Arabidopsis thaliana: one gene and its partners. The protein of the gene in region 4 interacts with the protein of the main gene of each other region in a pairwise test. Each region holds a gene or a part of one and is shown on either strand. Other genes may lie near its edges.

Evidence for each region.
Region 1: the proteins of PIP1;5 (region 4) and EMP1 interact in a protein complementation assay, tested with the Arabidopsis thaliana proteins (one large-scale study listed by BioGRID).
Region 2: the proteins of PIP1;5 (region 4) and ABCG10 interact in a protein complementation assay, tested with the Arabidopsis thaliana proteins (one large-scale study listed by BioGRID).
Region 3: the proteins of PIP1;5 (region 4) and DTX1 interact in a protein complementation assay, tested with the Arabidopsis thaliana proteins (one large-scale study listed by BioGRID).

Annotation. Positions count from the first base shown.
Region 1 is NC_003076.8:3,424,149-3,429,466, forward strand, and holds EMP1 (Endomembrane protein 70 protein family), read right to left. Parts: upstream 3,750-5,318; 5' UTR 3,650-3,749; coding exon 3,512-3,649; intron 3,032-3,511; coding exon 2,867-3,031; intron 2,765-2,866; coding exon 2,655-2,764; intron 2,560-2,654; coding exon 2,448-2,559; intron 2,365-2,447; coding exon 2,252-2,364; intron 2,172-2,251; coding exon 2,021-2,171; intron 1,920-2,020; coding exon 762-1,919; 3' UTR 540-761; downstream 1-539. Other genes in the region: AT5G10830 (S-adenosyl-L-methionine-dependent methyltransferases superfamily protein), read left to right, coding at 1-501; CBSX3 (Cystathionine beta-synthase (CBS) family protein), read right to left, coding at 5,025-5,167, 5,271-5,318.
Region 2 is NC_003070.9:19,861,054-19,865,153, forward strand, and holds ABCG10 (ABC-2 type transporter family protein), read left to right. Parts: upstream 1-1,767; 5' UTR 1,768-1,824; coding exon 1,825-3,597; downstream 3,598-4,100. Other genes in the region: AT1G53265 (uncharacterized protein), read right to left, coding at 45-422; DJ1B (Class I glutamine amidotransferase-like superfamily protein), read right to left, coding at 3,889-4,086.
Region 3 is NC_003071.7:1,333,713-1,338,098, forward strand, and holds DTX1 (MATE efflux family protein), read right to left. Parts: upstream 2,839-4,386; 5' UTR 2,769-2,838; coding exon 2,523-2,768; intron 2,435-2,522; coding exon 1,890-2,434; intron 1,799-1,889; coding exon 1,712-1,798; intron 1,631-1,711; coding exon 1,574-1,630; intron 1,482-1,573; coding exon 1,037-1,481; intron 953-1,036; coding exon 902-952; 3' UTR 746-901; coding exon of another isoform or gene 572-745; 3' UTR 558-571; downstream 1-557. Other genes in the region: AT2G04039 (DUF2996 family protein), read left to right, coding at 66-271, 413-490, 575-745; AT2G04050 (MATE efflux family protein), read right to left, coding at 3,674-3,724, 3,832-4,276, 4,353-4,386. UniProt on the Arabidopsis thaliana protein: Efflux carrier for plant-derived alkaloids, antibiotics, heavy metal and other toxic compounds. Involved in cadmium detoxification. Requires probably a proton-motive force for the efflux.
Region 4 is NC_003075.7:12,218,975-12,222,981, forward strand, and holds PIP1;5 (plasma membrane intrinsic protein 1;5), read left to right. Parts: upstream 1-1,666; 5' UTR 1,667-1,817; coding exon 1,818-2,148; intron 2,149-2,421; coding exon 2,422-2,717; intron 2,718-2,811; coding exon 2,812-2,952; intron 2,953-3,085; coding exon 3,086-3,181; 3' UTR 3,182-3,494; downstream 3,495-4,007. Other genes in the region: AT4G23390 (NEP-interacting protein, putative (DUF239)), read right to left, coding at 23-250, 330-416, 555-713. UniProt on the Arabidopsis thaliana protein: Aquaporins facilitate the transport of water and small neutral solutes across cell membranes.

The DNA of each region.
Region 1 (5,318 bases), on a different chromosome or scaffold from region 4:
GGAGGAGAAAACTCAGTGGATCTAATCACGGTCGCCCAAGGCGTACACTGGTTCGATCTCCCTAGGTTCTACTCAGTGGCCACACGACTCCTCCGTAAACCAGGCGGAATCATCGCTGTCTGGGGATACAACGACGTCATAGTGAGTCCAGAGTTCGACGCCGTCCAGTATCGGCTCCACGCCACAACGCTGCCGTTTTGGAAGTATCCGTACATTCAGCACATCTTCGATTCGTACGAAGCATTGCCGTTTCCTTTCGAAAATGTTGGGATGGGATCAGAAGGGGAGCCATTAAAGCTGGAGATGCCTAAAACGACGTCGTTTGAAGGGATCATAAGGATGTTTAAATCATGGTCGGCCATCGTCACGGCGAGAGAGAAAGGCGTCGAGTTGTTACCGGAGAGTTTGGTGAGAGAGCTTGAAACCGCTTGGGGAGGTTCTGATCTGGTTCGTTCCGTCGTTTACAAAGCTTTTATGATTGCAGGAAAAGTTAGAGTTTGATATCACCAAACCATGATTGATTGTTGTTCTCATTTGAGTTTATTTATAAAAATTGGTTATATTGCAAAAATTCTCAGAAAGTGTTGTTATTTGACAAATCAAACAAAATACACTCTATTACATATATTAAAATCTCTTTTGGTATGCAACAAAATAGAACCTAAAATGCAACAAAACCGATTTTAAAAAGAAAAATAAGATAAACTATGATCACCTTTTCTTCTTTGTTTCCTTAATCGCCATGATGATCATCATATCCTCTAATCGATCTTAACAGAGGAATAGATGAGCCTTGTGAACCAGAGACAAGCATAGAACCCTATTGTTCCTGTGAGCACAAAAAATGCGTAGGAGGCGATGAGCATGTACCCAAAGTAAAGCATCGCAGAGACCAGTTTGGTGATCTGAAGCTTTGTGAAGAAGTAGAACGTGGCATAGAGGAAGAGGTAGAGAGCTGATGAGCCTGATGTGAGGTATGATCTCCACCACCAAAGGTAGTCCTCACTGCAAAGCTGGAAGTAGCAGAGTACTACGGTTATCTCGGCGCAAGTCACAATGAGGATTACAAAGACGAGGAAGAGGAACCCAAAGATGTAGTAGAACTGGTTGAGCCAGATGGATGTGAGGATGAAGAAGAGCTCGATGAAGACTGCACCAAACGGTAAGATTCCTCCAATGAGGATTGAGAAAACCGGGTTCATGTACCAAGCTTGCTCTGGGATTTGCCTCGGGATTTTGTTGGTTTTCACTGGGTCATCAGCCGCTGGCTTCTTGAACCCAATGTAACCCCCAACAAAGACGAGAGGAACTGAGATGCCAAACCAGAGGAAGATCAAGGCGAACATTGTTCCAAAGGGGACAGCCCCAGATGACTTCTGTCCCCAGATGAGAGCGTTTAGGACAAAGAAGATTGCTGACACAACTGCAGGAAACAAGAAGGCTGTTCTGAAAGCGATTCTCTTCCACTCTGTTCCTTTGAACATTTTGTAGAGACGTGAAGAGGCGTAACCAGCAAAGAGTCCCATGAAGACCCAGAGCAAGAGCATTGCAGTCATCAGACCACCCCGATTGGAAGGGGAGAGAAATCCGAGCATGGCGAAGATCATTGTGACAAATACCATGCCTAGACACTGGACCCCTGTTCCAACATAGACGCAGAGCAGATCAGAATTGGTAGGAAGTCTGAAAACATCACCATGGACAAGCTTCCATCCTGTCTCTTCTTGAGCTTCTTCTTGAGTCTCGAGCTCGTTGTATCGTGAAATGTCACGGTAAAGGGTCCTCAGCATTATCATTGCCACCATACCAGATAGGAATAGGACGATCATCAGAGAATTGACGATAGAGAACCAGTGGATTTGGTTATCACTCATCAGAAGATAAGTATCCCATCTAGATGCCCACTTCACTTCACTTTCCTGGACAGAAACAGAAGAGGAAATCAGAAAAACTATTGAAAACAAGAATTCATGAAATTTTTTTAAGACACAAACCGCAGATTACTTAAGAAAAAACTTGCCTGGAAATCGACGTCATATGTGAAGATAATCTCCTTCTTTTGTTCAACTTCTTGAGGGGTAGCCGAGCTAACGACCAGGCGTTTCGTGTGAGGATCACAAGTCGTCAGACGGGTCTTCTCACTCCACTCTCCCTCATACTCATGCTTCACACTACAAATCAACGGAGGGAATATCAGTTCTGAATGACAGGGGATCCCAAGAGACATTCAAATTATGAACAAGAACTGCACCTGTAAGGTTTAACCTCAAATCCCACGATTCTTGCAGCATCAGTTTGGATATCTCTGTGATAGCGGACTGTAAATGCCAAGTGATTGTGCATAAAGAACTTCTGCTCTTTGCTCTGCGTATGCAAAAACAAAATTAGAAAATCGAACGATCTAGCATGAATTCCATTTAGTGTCTTAACAATTAAAACCTACTTACCCCCTCGTACTGGCCTTTAAGACCAACATGATAACCAAGCTGATAAACAACAGAGGGAGAACCCTGGTCGACTCTTTCAATTGGAACAACCAGAGGAAGGTTGTCGAGGATCCTAACACAGACCAGAAACACTTATAATAAAACTGACAGAGAAAAGCATGTTCTTCATACAAATAATCAAAGAAAAGTGCCTGTATTTGGTCTTACATGTTGACCCGGTACTCATCATCGATCTTTTCTTTAAACGCTTTAGCTGTCTTGGCATCAAGAGTGACCCGGCCGAGAATATTGCACATTTGTGCCTCCCGCATTTTAAACTGCAATTGTTTCAGCCCCGCAAGGGTTAGAGTTAAATCACAGACATAATATTTTTGACAGCCTGATGAATTACAAAATTAAAAATTGAATACGAGACTAACCGAGTATGGGGCATTCTCAATCCGGTCACCCCGAAGCACTTCTCCAAGATTCTCAGTACTGTCCACAATCTTGCTAGGGCGACAAAAAGGAAGGGAGTAATACGAGTATGGAAGCTGAGTCTTTATGGAAGTTAATTTATTCACTTTCACCTTCAGCTCATCACCCTGCAACATACAAGAAAACAAGACTCAAAATTTGAATATGATTTTGAAGTGAAACATGCAAGTCTACTTTGATTGAGACTCGTCATATAACATGCAGGACCGACATTGCCCTTGTACCCATAACTTGGATTTCGTAGTAATGGCAAGCGAATCAAGAGCGAGAGATCACTAAGAACCTAACAAAGGTAATCAAAATTACAGCGAATAAGGCTAATCCAGAAGAATAAATATCGATATAGCTCGCCTAAGACGCTACATTGTTCAGATCGAGAGATTAGTGAAGCGGAAATGAAGTGAAATCACCAATTCTATTAGAAAAATAGCTAAACCAAAAGTCGGTGCATCAGCACTCCAACTCTCACTATCTCTAGCTTTCTCGGGAATCAAGAACGGATTAATCCTAGCGGAAATCGAAACGCAGATCCAGGAGATCCAAATCAGATCTAAAAGCCTAGAAGCACAAATTCGAAACGTTTTTACCTTCTCGAAATCCTGAGGAGCAACACCTGGGAGATAGAATGAGTGAGCTCCATGGATGAAGAGCAGAAAAATCAAAGCGATCGCGCATCCAGAAGATTCCAATATTCTTCTACTGCTCCTCAGAAACTCCATAGCCATGGCTGTTCCACACGAAGGAAGAAAATAACCAGATCTGAAGCTACGCTACAGTTGTATTTGACTCTTATACGCTTCGAGACTCGAGACCAAGACCCGCCTCTAATTGTGATTTAATACTTCCCGGTTTATTTTTCCGGTTTGGCTCGTTTATGTTTGATCCTTATCAACCATTAATAATTCACCACGTCACTACGCATGAAGTCTTTCTACGAGCTATAAGCCTACATAACCAATGGGCCTAACTCGATAAGCCCACCCTAGGATAAACCAATCCGATAAACCATGATTAATTAAAGTCAATCAAGATTTTTAAGCATTTGCTATACATTTTTAAGATTGTGTTAAAATGTGGTCTCAATATAATCGATAGAGAGAAAATGGGCGACGCCGCCGGAGGCTTGAGATCTGAAACGCAAGATGTGACCATGACGGACCTAGGAGAGAAAGGTCATTCTCCGGGAGACCCTCCTGATGCACCGGGTTCGTGGGTGAAGAAAGTGGTGGGGGGACATTTAGGTGGTATCCTAAATCCGAATGATATCTTAGATGATGAGTTTGTGTCTGAGCAAATGACACTGGAGTTCCCTGATGGTGAGGATGGAGAACCAGTGATAACAATTGGCAGTGAGGTATTGGCGGCGATGAATGGTTTGTTGAAGAACAGCTTGATCGTGAAAGTGCCCGGGCGTAACATGACAATATCAGCATTAAGTAGAAAGCTTCGAGAGATGTGGAAACCACGAGGAGCAATGTCTGTTGTGGATCTCCCTCGTAAGTTTTTCATGATTCGGTTCGAAGCGGAGGAGGAATACATGGCAGCGTTGACAGGAGGTCCATGGAGGGCGTTTGATCGCTATCTCATGGTGCAAGCTTGGTCACCGGAGTTTGATCCCTTGAGAGACGATATTGTGACCACACCATAATCGATTTGATTTGAAGAAAATCTATCGTTTTATATTTTGCCTTGGTTTACTTGTTTGTATTCAAAGAATTGGTTTACTTGTTAAGATATTTTTCATGGTCCAAAGACACGGAAACTTTGTACCGAAATCAAATTTTCAAAGTAATTCTATTATTTCATAACACACATGGATACTTGACGCAAGATTTGATAACAAAAACAAACATCATATCTTTCATAAAGAGATCAGAGTTTTTGGTTTTATTCTCTTGCTAAGTAAGCGCAAGAAGAGAAGCAGCACAAGGCCTTAGTTTTGACAAGTTAAACAACGAAACAACACAAAACATCAAACACAACAACAACAACAATAACAACGAGGACTGCATATTTACACTGATCTGGAAGCTTTTCAGATTCAGCAGCACAAGACCAGACGACACAACAGGGAACTCTTTTCTTTCCATTATTCAAGATCTAGTAACCTCCCTGAATATACGCATTTAGGCGTTGAAGCTCCTCTCTATGCTCATGAACCACTGCACGGACAACATCTCCTATGGACACCATTCCAATCATGCCCTTGTCTTTGATTACCGGAATATGCCTGATTCGGTTATCTGTACATTACAAAAACACAAACCCGCATTTTTATTTGCTTCAGTAGGTTTTAAACCCAAAAGCTTGTATCTTTAGTGGAAAAATATCAAGTTGTCTGCTTACCTGTCATCAGTTGCATAGCACGCAAGACCTTGGTCTCCGGTGTCACAG
Region 2 (4,100 bases), on a different chromosome or scaffold from region 4:
AAATCGTCCCATTGTTATTTCAATTGACATGAGAAACCCATTTGTCACGAAATCATCATAAACAACCATATGTTGAATTCTTCTCTTTCGTCGAGGTTAGTAGAGAACATATCTGGTTGCTCAGTGGGAGTGACATTAAAAACGTCGTCTATGTATTGTAGATTAGGTATTTCAATGATACCTAGTTGAGGATCTCTCAAATAGCTTATAATCTTTGGTAGGACAAGATCCTCCATATTCGTATGCAAATGGACATTGGCAAAGTTATGTGGTAGCTCATATTCCCGTTCTGCTAAGGCCATCTTTTTGTGCTCTTCAGAGCAATACCGAGATTCAGGTGCGTAGACACATGTACAAGACCAGTACGCGAAGGCCTTATCTTTATGCACATAATGCATAACACGAAGATTGGCAACACCCATTGCAGAAACCTGCTAATACACATTGTTAGGTCTAGAGAAAAAAACTCTCTCTCGCAACTTTGAAGATTTTGTTTGCTCTTTGGATTGTCGAGATTGTTTCATTTCGTGTTTTTATATTATTTTTTACTTTTAGTTTTGGATTTGAATCTTAGGTTTAAAAAAGAAAAAGAAAAATTGTGATCAAAACGACATGGTTTGATTGAAGATGATGCTAATTCATTAAACATGGGTCATTTGAGTCGACGTATGTTAGTATTAACTAACATTTGTTATTGCAGATCCTAAAATACGTGCGACCTATAAAGTTTGGATATAATTTTTTTTTTTTTATGAATTTGGGTAAAGAATTAACATTGTACAGTATGTTTTATATAAGAAAACAATACTTTGCAAATTGTACTGGTATAAAAATATCGTTTTTCCAGTCACCCGCTTACGTTTGGTCCAAGTTGTTTTTAATTTTATACCGAATTAAAGTTTATTAGTCACAACTTTAAGTGTTTTTTCCAAACCCAAATCAAAATTCGATTTTTTTCGTCACAACTTTGAATCAGCCCCTTCACCTTTGCAGCCACATCTAACCGAATGCCCACCTAGACAACATCTTATAATGCGTCTTTTTATTATTATTATCCAAAAATAATTAAATTAGTGAGGTTTCTTACGTGATTATTCCTTGTTAATTAAACATCTGAATTTCCGTAAGCGAGTTCGAAACACGTAATTAAATATTGTAGGTAATATATAACAACCAAACTGGGTTTCCTCTCTTTCTTTGTTAGAAAAAACTAATAAATTAGATAAAACAAGTTCACCAACAAGGCAAACATTTCACGGTCAATTTTTCAGCTCACCCGAATTTGAGAATCTCTAGACGAAACCAAATCTCTTTCTAACTAATTCTTTTTTTGCTTTTCTTGTACCTCTTCACAATTTCAAAACCCAATTAAAAAAAAAAAAAAAAAAGAACCAACTACATATCTTAATTTCTTAGATATTTTTTTTGGTCAACCAATTTCATTAGAAATTAAAAAATACAAGAAAAACAACAAATGTTTAATTTCATATAAATTTATCTAACTGTATCAATATTATTTACGAACAAATTCTTTATTAAGAAAAACAAATTAAGCATTTTAAGCTTGGAATCATAAATATCTTTGGTTTAATTTAGTCATAGTCAAGTGCTTTTCGGTTTTCATGGAAGGCAATAAGAGAAAGCTAATAAAGTCTTGAAGCTTTTGAATGTTTGAATAATAAAGGAGAGGTTCCTTAAAGTTTGGTGTGTTAGTTCATCTTCTCTACCATTTATTCTTCACTTAATCTCACACTCTTTGCTCAATTTGTTGATTTCTCTATCTCTCAAAGTTTGATGCTTTCTTTTTCCTTCTTTCTTTCTTAGATGGAATTGCCGGTAAAAGCTCCTATTCCCGGTGGCCGGGAAATCTCATATAGATTAGAAACCAAGAATCTGTCGTATAGAATAGGCGGAAACACTCCAAAGTTTTCTAATTTATGTGGTTTGTTGAGTGAGAAGGAGGAAAAGGTTATCTTAAAGGATGTTTCTTGTGATGCAAGATCCGCGGAGATCACTGCGATCGCGGGTCCAAGCGGAGCAGGGAAAACCACGTTGCTGGAGATTCTAGCCGGAAAAGTTTCTCATGGGAAAGTTTCAGGGCAAGTGCTTGTCAACGGTAGGCCTATGGATGGTCCTGAGTACAGGAGGGTTTCAGGGTTTGTGCCACAAGAAGATGCTCTGTTTCCGTTTCTTACGGTGCAAGAAACACTGACGTACAGCGCACTCTTGAGGCTGAAGACAAAGAGGAAAGACGCGGCTGCAAAGGTGAAGAGGCTGATTCAAGAGCTTGGTCTAGAACATGTTGCGGATTCAAGGATCGGTCAAGGATCAAGATCTGGAATCTCTGGAGGAGAGAGAAGAAGGGTTTCTATTGGAGTTGAACTTGTTCATGATCCAAATGTTATATTGATCGATGAGCCAACCTCTGGTTTGGATTCTGCGTCCGCTCTTCAAGTTGTGACGCTTCTCAAAGATATGACGATTAAACAAGGTAAAACCATTGTTCTGACGATTCACCAGCCTGGTTTTCGCATACTCGAGCAGATAGACCGGATAGTGTTGCTCTCTAACGGGATGGTTGTTCAAAACGGATCAGTTTATAGCCTTCATCAGAAGATTAAGTTCTCCGGTCACCAGATTCCTAGGCGGGTAAATGTCTTGGAGTATGCAATTGATATTGCAGGGAGTCTTGAACCGATCAGAACCCAGAGTTGCAGAGAAATCTCATGTTATGGTCATAGCAAAACATGGAAGAGTTGCTATATTAGTGCAGGAGGAGAGCTTCATCAATCTGATTCTCACAGCAACTCAGTGTTAGAGGAAGTGCAGATACTCGGGCAAAGATCTTGCAAGAACATCTTCAGAACCAAGCAATTGTTCACAACCAGAGCCTTACAAGCTTCCATTGCCGGTCTTATACTGGGGTCGATTTACTTGAACGTAGGAAATCAAAAGAAAGAAGCGAAAGTCTTGCGAACCGGGTTCTTCGCCTTTATCCTCACTTTCCTGCTATCTTCCACAACAGAGGGACTTCCAATTTTCTTGCAAGACAGGAGAATCCTAATGAGAGAGACATCGAGAAGGGCTTACAGAGTTTTGTCTTACGTTTTAGCAGATACTCTCATATTCATTCCCTTCTTGTTGATCATAAGCATGCTCTTTGCTACGCCGGTTTATTGGCTGGTCGGTCTCAGAAGAGAGCTAGACGGCTTCCTCTACTTCTCATTGGTGATATGGATTGTTCTTCTGATGTCAAACTCTTTTGTCGCATGTTTCAGTGCTCTTGTCCCAAACTTCATAATGGGGACATCAGTAATCTCAGGTCTCATGGGATCTTTCTTCCTCTTCTCCGGGTATTTCATTGCAAAGGACAGGATCCCCGTTTACTGGGAGTTCATGCATTATCTCAGCCTCTTCAAGTATCCATTCGAATGCCTGATGATCAACGAGTATCGAGGAGACGTGTTCTTAAAACAACAAGACCTCAAAGAGTCTCAGAAATGGAGCAATCTTGGTATCATGGCAAGTTTCATCGTCGGGTACAGAGTCCTTGGATTCTTCATCTTATGGTACAGATGTTACAGAACAAGAAGCTAGGTTAATAACAATGATCTGCAGATATAATTCAATTTGTTTTGTAATTTTATAAGAAATTTTACTTTCTCATATTCTTTCTTTTTGTTCAGCACTTTCTTATATTCTAAAATTCGCAATGTAAAGTAACAAAAAAACTTTCTGATAAAAACAGAGTAAACTCGTTTATTTATAAGACAGTTTTAAGCATCACACTTAGTACAAAGCTCACCACAACAACGGTACACTCATTGATCGTTTGATACTAAAGCCTTTTTCTTATTAAAGTCACTCTTACCTAAGATACTCATGAGTTTACACAAGTGTTGCCTTTGAGAGCTGAAGTCCTTTCTCGCGCCCGTAAAACTTCTCTACAATTGCAAGTGCAAACTCCAATGAGGTTCCTGGACCCCTGCTCGTTATGAGATTGCCGTCCACCAAGACTCGATGCTCGATGTGACTCTGGTCCGTCAGTTTGCTGCACATTGCTGGAAACGCTGTTGCCTTCTTACCCTGTAAAAAAATCC
Region 3 (4,386 bases), on a different chromosome or scaffold from region 4:
GATGCATAAAACAGAATGTTTGGCTCAAAAATTCGAGAAGAGTAACTTTCTTGTTCTCTTCCTAGTTGCTACTGAAAAGAAAAACAAAGAAGAAGGAGAAGAGTCAACAGTGGCGGTTCCGGCAAAGAAACCTAAACCCGCAGCTAAAGCGGCTGCAGTGGCGAAACCGCTGAGACAAATGATGGAAGAAGACGTGATTCCTCCTTTACAAGCCATTCTTGAATCTCAAGATGATATCTCTGACATAGATTTATCTTTCCAAGACGATAAGGTTTCTTGCTTCTAACTTCTAATGCTTTGTTGCCATGCTTATGGGGCCATCTCTCTACCCTATATGGCTCCAGTTTTATTGGATGTTCTCAAAATGTCTTCTTGATTAAACTTCTAAGACAATTATCATTATTTGTGTCAGTTGGAAGGTTTTTTCTTAAAGAAAAGTATTCCATATTCCTTTTGGGCCTTTTTCCCTACTGGAAACCTTACAGGTGAAGTATTGAATCTTTTACTTGAGACTCTTGTTACAGAAAATTTCAATGGAACATTATGTCTTTTGGTTTGTTGCTTAAAACAGGAGCAAAAGGATTTTCAATTTCCTCACACGGGTCAGGTCCGAGCACCGTGGAACCATTTCTTGTCGACGAGAGGAAACCAACTGCGAACCACGTTGTGTTTTGGGTCGAGAAGCGTCTTGCTGCACAAGGGATCATCCCCGTTTGGAACCAATGAGGTTTTTGTTCACTTGTAATTATTACATTTGTATACCAAAATTGAAGAAAACTTATAAATCCTTGTCATAAAATTGATTAAGAAAACAAATGACCCTCTTTTATAAACATCTTTCAAAAAAAATTTGCATAAGGCATACAAATAGTTTGAGATAACTATGAGAAACATCATTTGTTTAAGCCAATCTGTTTTCAGTTGAGACAATTCTCTTCCTTGCCTTCTCAGCCTGCAAAATCATAGATTACTTCATAGCATTAATGAATGAACATAAAAGAATTTACAAGTGTAAAAAGCTGAAATGGCTATTTACCTGTTCCTTCCAATTTATGGAAGCTGTGACAATAGCCAGTATAGTGGCTTGCACAGTAGATCCAACCACAACACCGCACCACAGTCCTTTTCCGTTCAACTCACGACTGAAAGCTAAGTAAATTCCAACAGGAGCTCCTACAAGATAATAAGAAACAGTATTGTTCCAAGCTCCAATGTGTTGCCAACCACTTCCCCTAGCAACTCCATTTAGAACTGCTGTGAAGCCGTCGAGGATAAAGGAGAGGCAGAGCAAAGGAGTTAGGTCAGCTACATAGTCCAAAACTTCTTTGCTGTTGCTGAATGCGTATCCTATGATGTTCCTGCAGGTGAATAGAAGTATGCTAAAGAAAGCTGACTCTACTATCCAGAGACAAAGCCCTGCTAATACTGAAACCCTAGCAACTTGAGGATTCCCAGCTCCCAAATTGTTTGATACACGTGTGCTGCAAGAAACCAATCACTAAATGTTTAGGAAAGAATTGTCTATAATAAGATGAAGATGTTCTGAATGATAAAACTGAGATCATATTCATACCTCACAGCCGCGGCGACTCCAGCTGAAATCACATAGTGCAAAGTTTCTATTGTAAGACTGAAAAGAAGGAAACAGGATTCATTAGTTTTTAGTAAAGAGACCACAAAAGATAAAAAGAAGTCCTTCTATGGTACTTACCAAATTGAAAGAACAGAGGTCTCGAGTTTCGGGTTAGGGAGAAGACCTGAGCAGAGTATGAGTATCTCAAATAGCCACCATTCTAGACTATTAAAGAAGACCGAGAAAATGCAAGCGGGATAAGAAGAAGAGCATTAGGGTATGTAACTTGACGGACAAACAACTTAAAATGACTTACCAAATCATTGCAGCTGATGGGATTCCGTATTGGAAGAACTGCTTGATAGAAGACACAAAATCTCGGGATACAAATCCGCGAGTCTTCTCGCAAGAGCTGGAGAATCTCACATAACATGAGAGTATCACAGCGTAAAACCAGAAAGACACACTTGTAGCCATGGCAGGTCCATTACATCCCAGACCAAACAAGAAAACCAAAGTCCAACAAACCAAAACGTGGAACAAAAGGGTGGTCACGGCAGTGAAGAGCAGAGGAATAACCAACCCTTGTGTTAGCAGAAACCGGGACAGTGGTATGACAATCGCTTGGCCAAATAAAGCCGGTATAAGCCAAAAGGCGTAGGAGCCAGCGATTCTTGAAATTTCAGGGTCTTGTCCGAGAGAAATCAAGATCTTTTCGATGTAAAGCCAGAGAATTGATATGAGGAAACAAATTGGTATGTTGGAAGCAATAGCAGAGTATGCGTAAGTTCCGATTTTTTCATATTGTTTGGCTCCATAAGCTTGGCCACAAAGAGTTTCAAGTGCACCCACTAATCCACACTGCACAAAAATAATTGAAGTGTTTTCAATACTTGAGAGAGTCCATTTGATTCTTGAGTTGAAAAGGTTAGAGTCATAGCATAATTACCATAATGCTAAAACCGGTGACGTTTGTGAAGGAGTTTGCAAGAGCGACACCGGAGAGCTGGAGCTCGCCGTTGTGGCCAGCGACCATGACCGAGATGACAGGCAATAAGTACTGAGCAATGGTCACAGTGGCCATAGGAGCGGCCAAGCGGCTCACTCTCTTTAGCTCGACGGTTAATGGATTTGTATGCCATGTGACTTGAGAAGGGACTAGAAGCTCGTCTCTCAGAAGAAATGGCTCCTCCATTGTTTAACGTTGAAGGCCTTTCCCTTTGATTTTAAGATGATATTTATCCTATCTTTATAGACCGACTAAGTCAATAAACAACAAAGGCAACTTGAACTACAAACGTGGTGACGAAGTAGATATGATGAGTAAAGAAGCAAATTCGTTTTGACTTGTTTGAAAATATAGATACTAGTGGCACACGAATATACTATATTATAAAAATAGATATATAGAATATACATATTAAAAATGACATGTCATTAGTGTTAATACTTTTTAATTATTTACATAAGAACATATGTGAAGACTGAAGACTAATATGAATTATTTTGTTTTGTAGAGTTTGAACATTCAATCTTGTATTAATTACTTTTGTGGATTTTTATATTTTTATATAGTCCTAAAGTTTGACTCTAATTTAAGTAATTTGCTTACCTTAAGTTTTGATTCTTTAGACCACTTTAAAGACATTTGGATCTGATTTTACACAGGTTTTAGTAAATCATTTGTGGTTGAAACTAAAAGTGACAGCCGCTCTCAAGTAGAATCCAAAGTTTCGTCAGAGATTTGTCGTGAAGGTCCGAGTTTCAAAATCTGAATAGTATTGTATTATGAGCCTAAAAGCTCTCTCGGAAAGGGTTCACTAAGATTTATTGGTAGAAGATTGTGGTTATAGTCACAAATACCATAAAATAAATTTATTGGGAATGACATGTGAAAAAATTAAGAAAAGCATGTTTATGGATAAATGATGATTATACACTTACAAGTTACACAACATAGTGAAAAAGATAGGCTGAGAAAAAATCATACATATAAATTATTTTGTAAGAACATTTTTTAACACATTAATATACCATACATAAAAATTTGCTCAACACCTACAAAAATAGTTTGAGATAGCTCTCAGAAACATCCTTAGTTTAAGCCAATCTATTTTCACTAGAGACCATTCTCTTCCTAGCCTTCTCAGCCTGCAAATCATAGATTAAAATTACTTCATAGTATTAAAGAAAGAACAAAAAAGAATGTACAAGTATAACATGCTAAAATGACGAATCTTCTATTCTAAGTGTTTTACCTGTTCCTTCCAATTTATGGAAGCTGTGACAAAAGCCAATATTATGGCTTGCACAGCGGATCCGACCACAACACCACACCAAAGTCCTTTTCCGTTCAACTCACGATTGAAAGCTAAGTATACTCCAACAGGAGCTCCTACAAGATAATAAGCTACCACGTTGTTCAAAGCTCCAATGTGTTGCCAACCACTTCCCCTTGCAACCCCATTCAGAACTGCTGTGAAACCGTCGAGGATAAAGGAGAGGCAGAGCAAAGGAGTTAGGTTAGCCACATAGTCCACAACTTCTTTGCTGTTGCTGAATGCGTAGCCTATAATGTTTCGGCATGTGAAGAGAAGTGTGCTAAAGAAAGCTGACTCTACAAGCCAGAGACAAAGCCCTGCCAATACTGAAACCCTAGCAACTTGAGGAATCCCAGCTCCCAATTTGTTTGACACGCGTGTGCTGCAAGAAACCAAATGACTATTATTGTTTAGGAAGAAGATGTTGAATATGTTTGGTTAAAAATTTGAGTTCATACCTCACAGCCGCCGCGACTCCACCTGGAATCACAT
Region 4 (4,007 bases):
TGTAATAAGAAATGATTCTTACATGATGACCAGTTAAATCAATTTTCTTGTCCTTTGCAGACACTTGTCCTGGATAGTTGAATCGTAAGGATTGCAAACGTTGAGCTCGTATAAGATCTTCAAGTATAATTCTTTTGACAATGACTGTCCCAACTGGACAACTTATGTCATCTTGTCGAAATGGCAGAGAACTAGTTTTATGAGAAGCGTTGTTATCTTTGGTCCATTTAGGTATAGTTGTGGGTTTCAACTGCATTTATATTTCAATCCATCCAAACATTAATAAGAATTTTATTTATAGATATTTTTTCGTGGTTTGTAGGATAAACCTTAATAGAATGGTTCTTGAGCAAAGGATGATCAAAAGCTAGCTGTTTTTGAATGTCGATGCAGTCAAATATATAACCATGTTCAGTCTGTCGAAATCAAAAGCAAGAAAAAATTGGTGTGGTCTGAAAATAAATGTAACTTGATGATAGTTGTAATATTGTTACAATAGTCAACAATTTTTGTAATGTTTTATGAAAATTTAAGAAAAGAAAGGCTAAATTTACTTGGAAACTTTTGACTGCAGGTTTATTGAGATAGGTAAGTAGCTTCTTCATCTCTTCTTTCTCCTCTTTCGAAGGTATTGTTTTGTGACTCTCTCCAACTAAAATGAGAGCTATTGTTGATAAAGTTAGCAAGATAATTAGTTTATTGGAATACCTCATGATGAATCAAGGATCTTAATCTATATTTTTCAAAAGAAAAAATGAAGCAGAACAACTATATTTATTGTGTCACATAAATCTGAGATCATTTATAACCACCAAAGAACCTATACACAGTAAATGACAAATGTATCTCCCTCTATCTCTATTGCCCATATGTAGATGCTAAAGTAAGATTTCTCTTTTTTTTAATGTACTTTTTTTTGTATAAAGTATATTCCATAAGAAAAAGGAAAAGCTTGTTTATGGATCAATTGACCCCAAAAAAAGTTTTTAGATCAAAGCCCAATATAAAAAAAAAACACAGTAGTGACACAAAGGAACTTAAATAAACCATGAATTGATCTATAAACAGTAGAGATCGATAAGGCGAACATTTTCCATGTGAAGTGTCTTCTTTCATCTATAATATTTTTGACATCCAATAATTTCCTCTATAATATCATTCACATAATTGATAGAAACATTATGTTAGAATTGTCCACATCATTTGAGCTGTAATATATTCTGTTTTAACAAATTATATGGTAGTTGCTTAATCTTATGTCCATCTTCTTCTATGCATCGTTTTCGCGCCTAGTTGTCCAGTCCATTTCAACTACCTACCTCTAATTCTTATCTTAAAACAACATTTTTTAATTTAAGTATTATGCTCAAAGACTAACTAGATAGAAAACCGTTATTAAACATTAAACGAATTAAAAGTCTTACATGGAAAATGTAGGTTTATAAACCACGAGTTATGATTGACAATAAAAAAAATGCAAATCATCAATCAAAAGAGACTTGAGTGCGACTCTATATCAACCATTGCAATTAAAATTATCTATCACAAAAATTTTAGACAGATTAAGTTAATTTAGTCTAAATTCACTAATTTATTTTCTATAATTAGTAATTAACTATATTTATTTATTTACACATTTTCTGATAATTTAGAAATTTGCATGAATAACAAATATAAGATTTTGGAAATTAGTAGCAAATTTAATTAATAATTATTTTTGCCTAAATGAACCAAACTATAAAACCTCCACATACACCAGTCATCAAATTTACAGAGACAACAAACTAAAGTTGGTGGTGATAGAGTGAGAGAGAAACATGGAAGGCAAAGAAGAAGACGTCAATGTTGGAGCCAACAAGTTCCCAGAGAGACAGCCGATCGGTACGGCGGCTCAGACGGAGAGCAAGGACTATAAGGAACCACCACCGGCGCCGTTTTTCGAACCCGGCGAGCTCAAATCTTGGTCTTTCTACAGAGCAGGGATAGCTGAGTTCATAGCCACTTTCCTTTTCCTCTACGTCACCGTTTTGACAGTCATGGGTGTTAAGAGAGCTCCCAATATGTGTGCCTCTGTTGGAATCCAAGGCATCGCTTGGGCTTTTGGTGGCATGATCTTTGCTCTTGTTTACTGTACTGCTGGAATCTCAGGTTCAGGATCTGTTCTTGCTCTGAATTTTGTTTAAAGTTTTCGAATTTAGGTTGAAGGAATCTGGAATTAGGGTTACTTGGTTGTGAGAAACTTGGATATAATGAAGAAAGTTTGATACTTAAAAGTAATTTCACATTTAAAGATTGAAACTTTGAGTAATTTTCTTCTTAAAGTTTGAAACTTTGGTTAGTTTGCCCCACTTTGTTTCTTCTGTGTGAAGATCATAATCTGATTTTGACTTGTGTGTGGCGAATTGGTTTGGTAATGAGCAGGAGGACATATTAATCCGGCGGTGACTTTTGGTTTGTTCTTGGCGAGGAAGCTATCTTTAACCAGAGCTCTGTTCTACATAGTAATGCAGTGCCTTGGAGCTATATGTGGTGCTGGTGTGGTTAAAGGGTTTCAACCAGGGCTGTACCAGACGAATGGCGGTGGAGCTAATGTGGTGGCTCATGGTTACACAAAGGGTTCAGGTCTTGGTGCAGAGATTGTTGGAACTTTTGTTCTGGTTTACACTGTTTTCTCAGCTACTGATGCTAAGAGAAGTGCCAGAGACTCTCATGTCCCTGTATGTTGCTAATTCTCTAGTATCCTTGAGTTGTGTTGAGTTCATATTCTTCACATAGAGCTCATGTGTTTTTTGGTTATCGAACATTTTGCAGATCTTGGCTCCGCTTCCAATTGGGTTTGCTGTCTTCTTGGTGCACTTGGCTACCATCCCAATTACTGGAACTGGCATTAACCCGGCCAGGAGTCTCGGAGCTGCCATCATCTACAACAAGGATCATGCTTGGGATGACCATGTAAGTTTTCCTCTTTAATTACATCAACGGTTGTGCTAAGTATGATAAGTTATGAATTGCATCTAAATAGCAACTCAGAATTTTTGATAATTCTGCTCTTATCTGTTGTCTCTTTTGTTTTATGTGTCTGCAGTGGATCTTCTGGGTCGGTCCATTCATTGGTGCTGCGCTTGCTGCTCTGTACCATCAGATAGTCATCAGAGCTATTCCTTTCAAGTCCAAGACATAAAGTTTCCTACATATTCTCTGATCATCATCAAGCTAAGAATATATCAATCTTTAATTCTATATGCTTTCTTCTTGTTTCCTATGTCATGTGTGATGATCTCTATATGTACCACTAGAGCTTTGATCTTGTAACAGTGTAAATGTGTAATCTATTATGTATCAATGGCATTGTATCTTGTAACATTAATTATGTCAATGGAAGAATACATTGTGTACATGTGTAAGCTCAGAATCTTGTTTGAATATCACAGAGACATAACTGAACTGGACATAGGTATGCTAAGTTGCTAACATTGTCAATAAGTGTTTCCAATACCAAACATTAGCAACATAATTGTAAAATGTGTAGAATTTGATAGAACAACATCTAAGCCGAACTGAACTGGTCTAACACCATCATCGCAAGTATTTCTTCATCTTCTTTCTTCTATAAGAGTCTTTCATTTTCCACTTTTTATAACATGCTTATAACTGAATTTTCAACTTTTGAATCACAGTTTCAGTTATAGATATTCTTGGATGATGTTCAGTTCGGGGTTTTGGTTTTGGTTTTGGTTTTGGTTGATAGTCATGAAAATGCATGTTCTGTTCCACATGGTAGGGTTCCAGTAAAATAATAAAAGAACCAGATTTAGTAACATCTTTCACATGAATGATAACATATTTCACATGTTTGATGCAGCAACTTGTAATATGGATGATAGTCATGAAAGAATCTAATGGGCCAAGAAATGTGAAAGAGTCTACATGACTATCATCCAAAAAAGAGTTGTAGCAATATGGATGGGCCAAGAAAGTGCAAGACTTCAGCTTGAGCTTGACTTTAA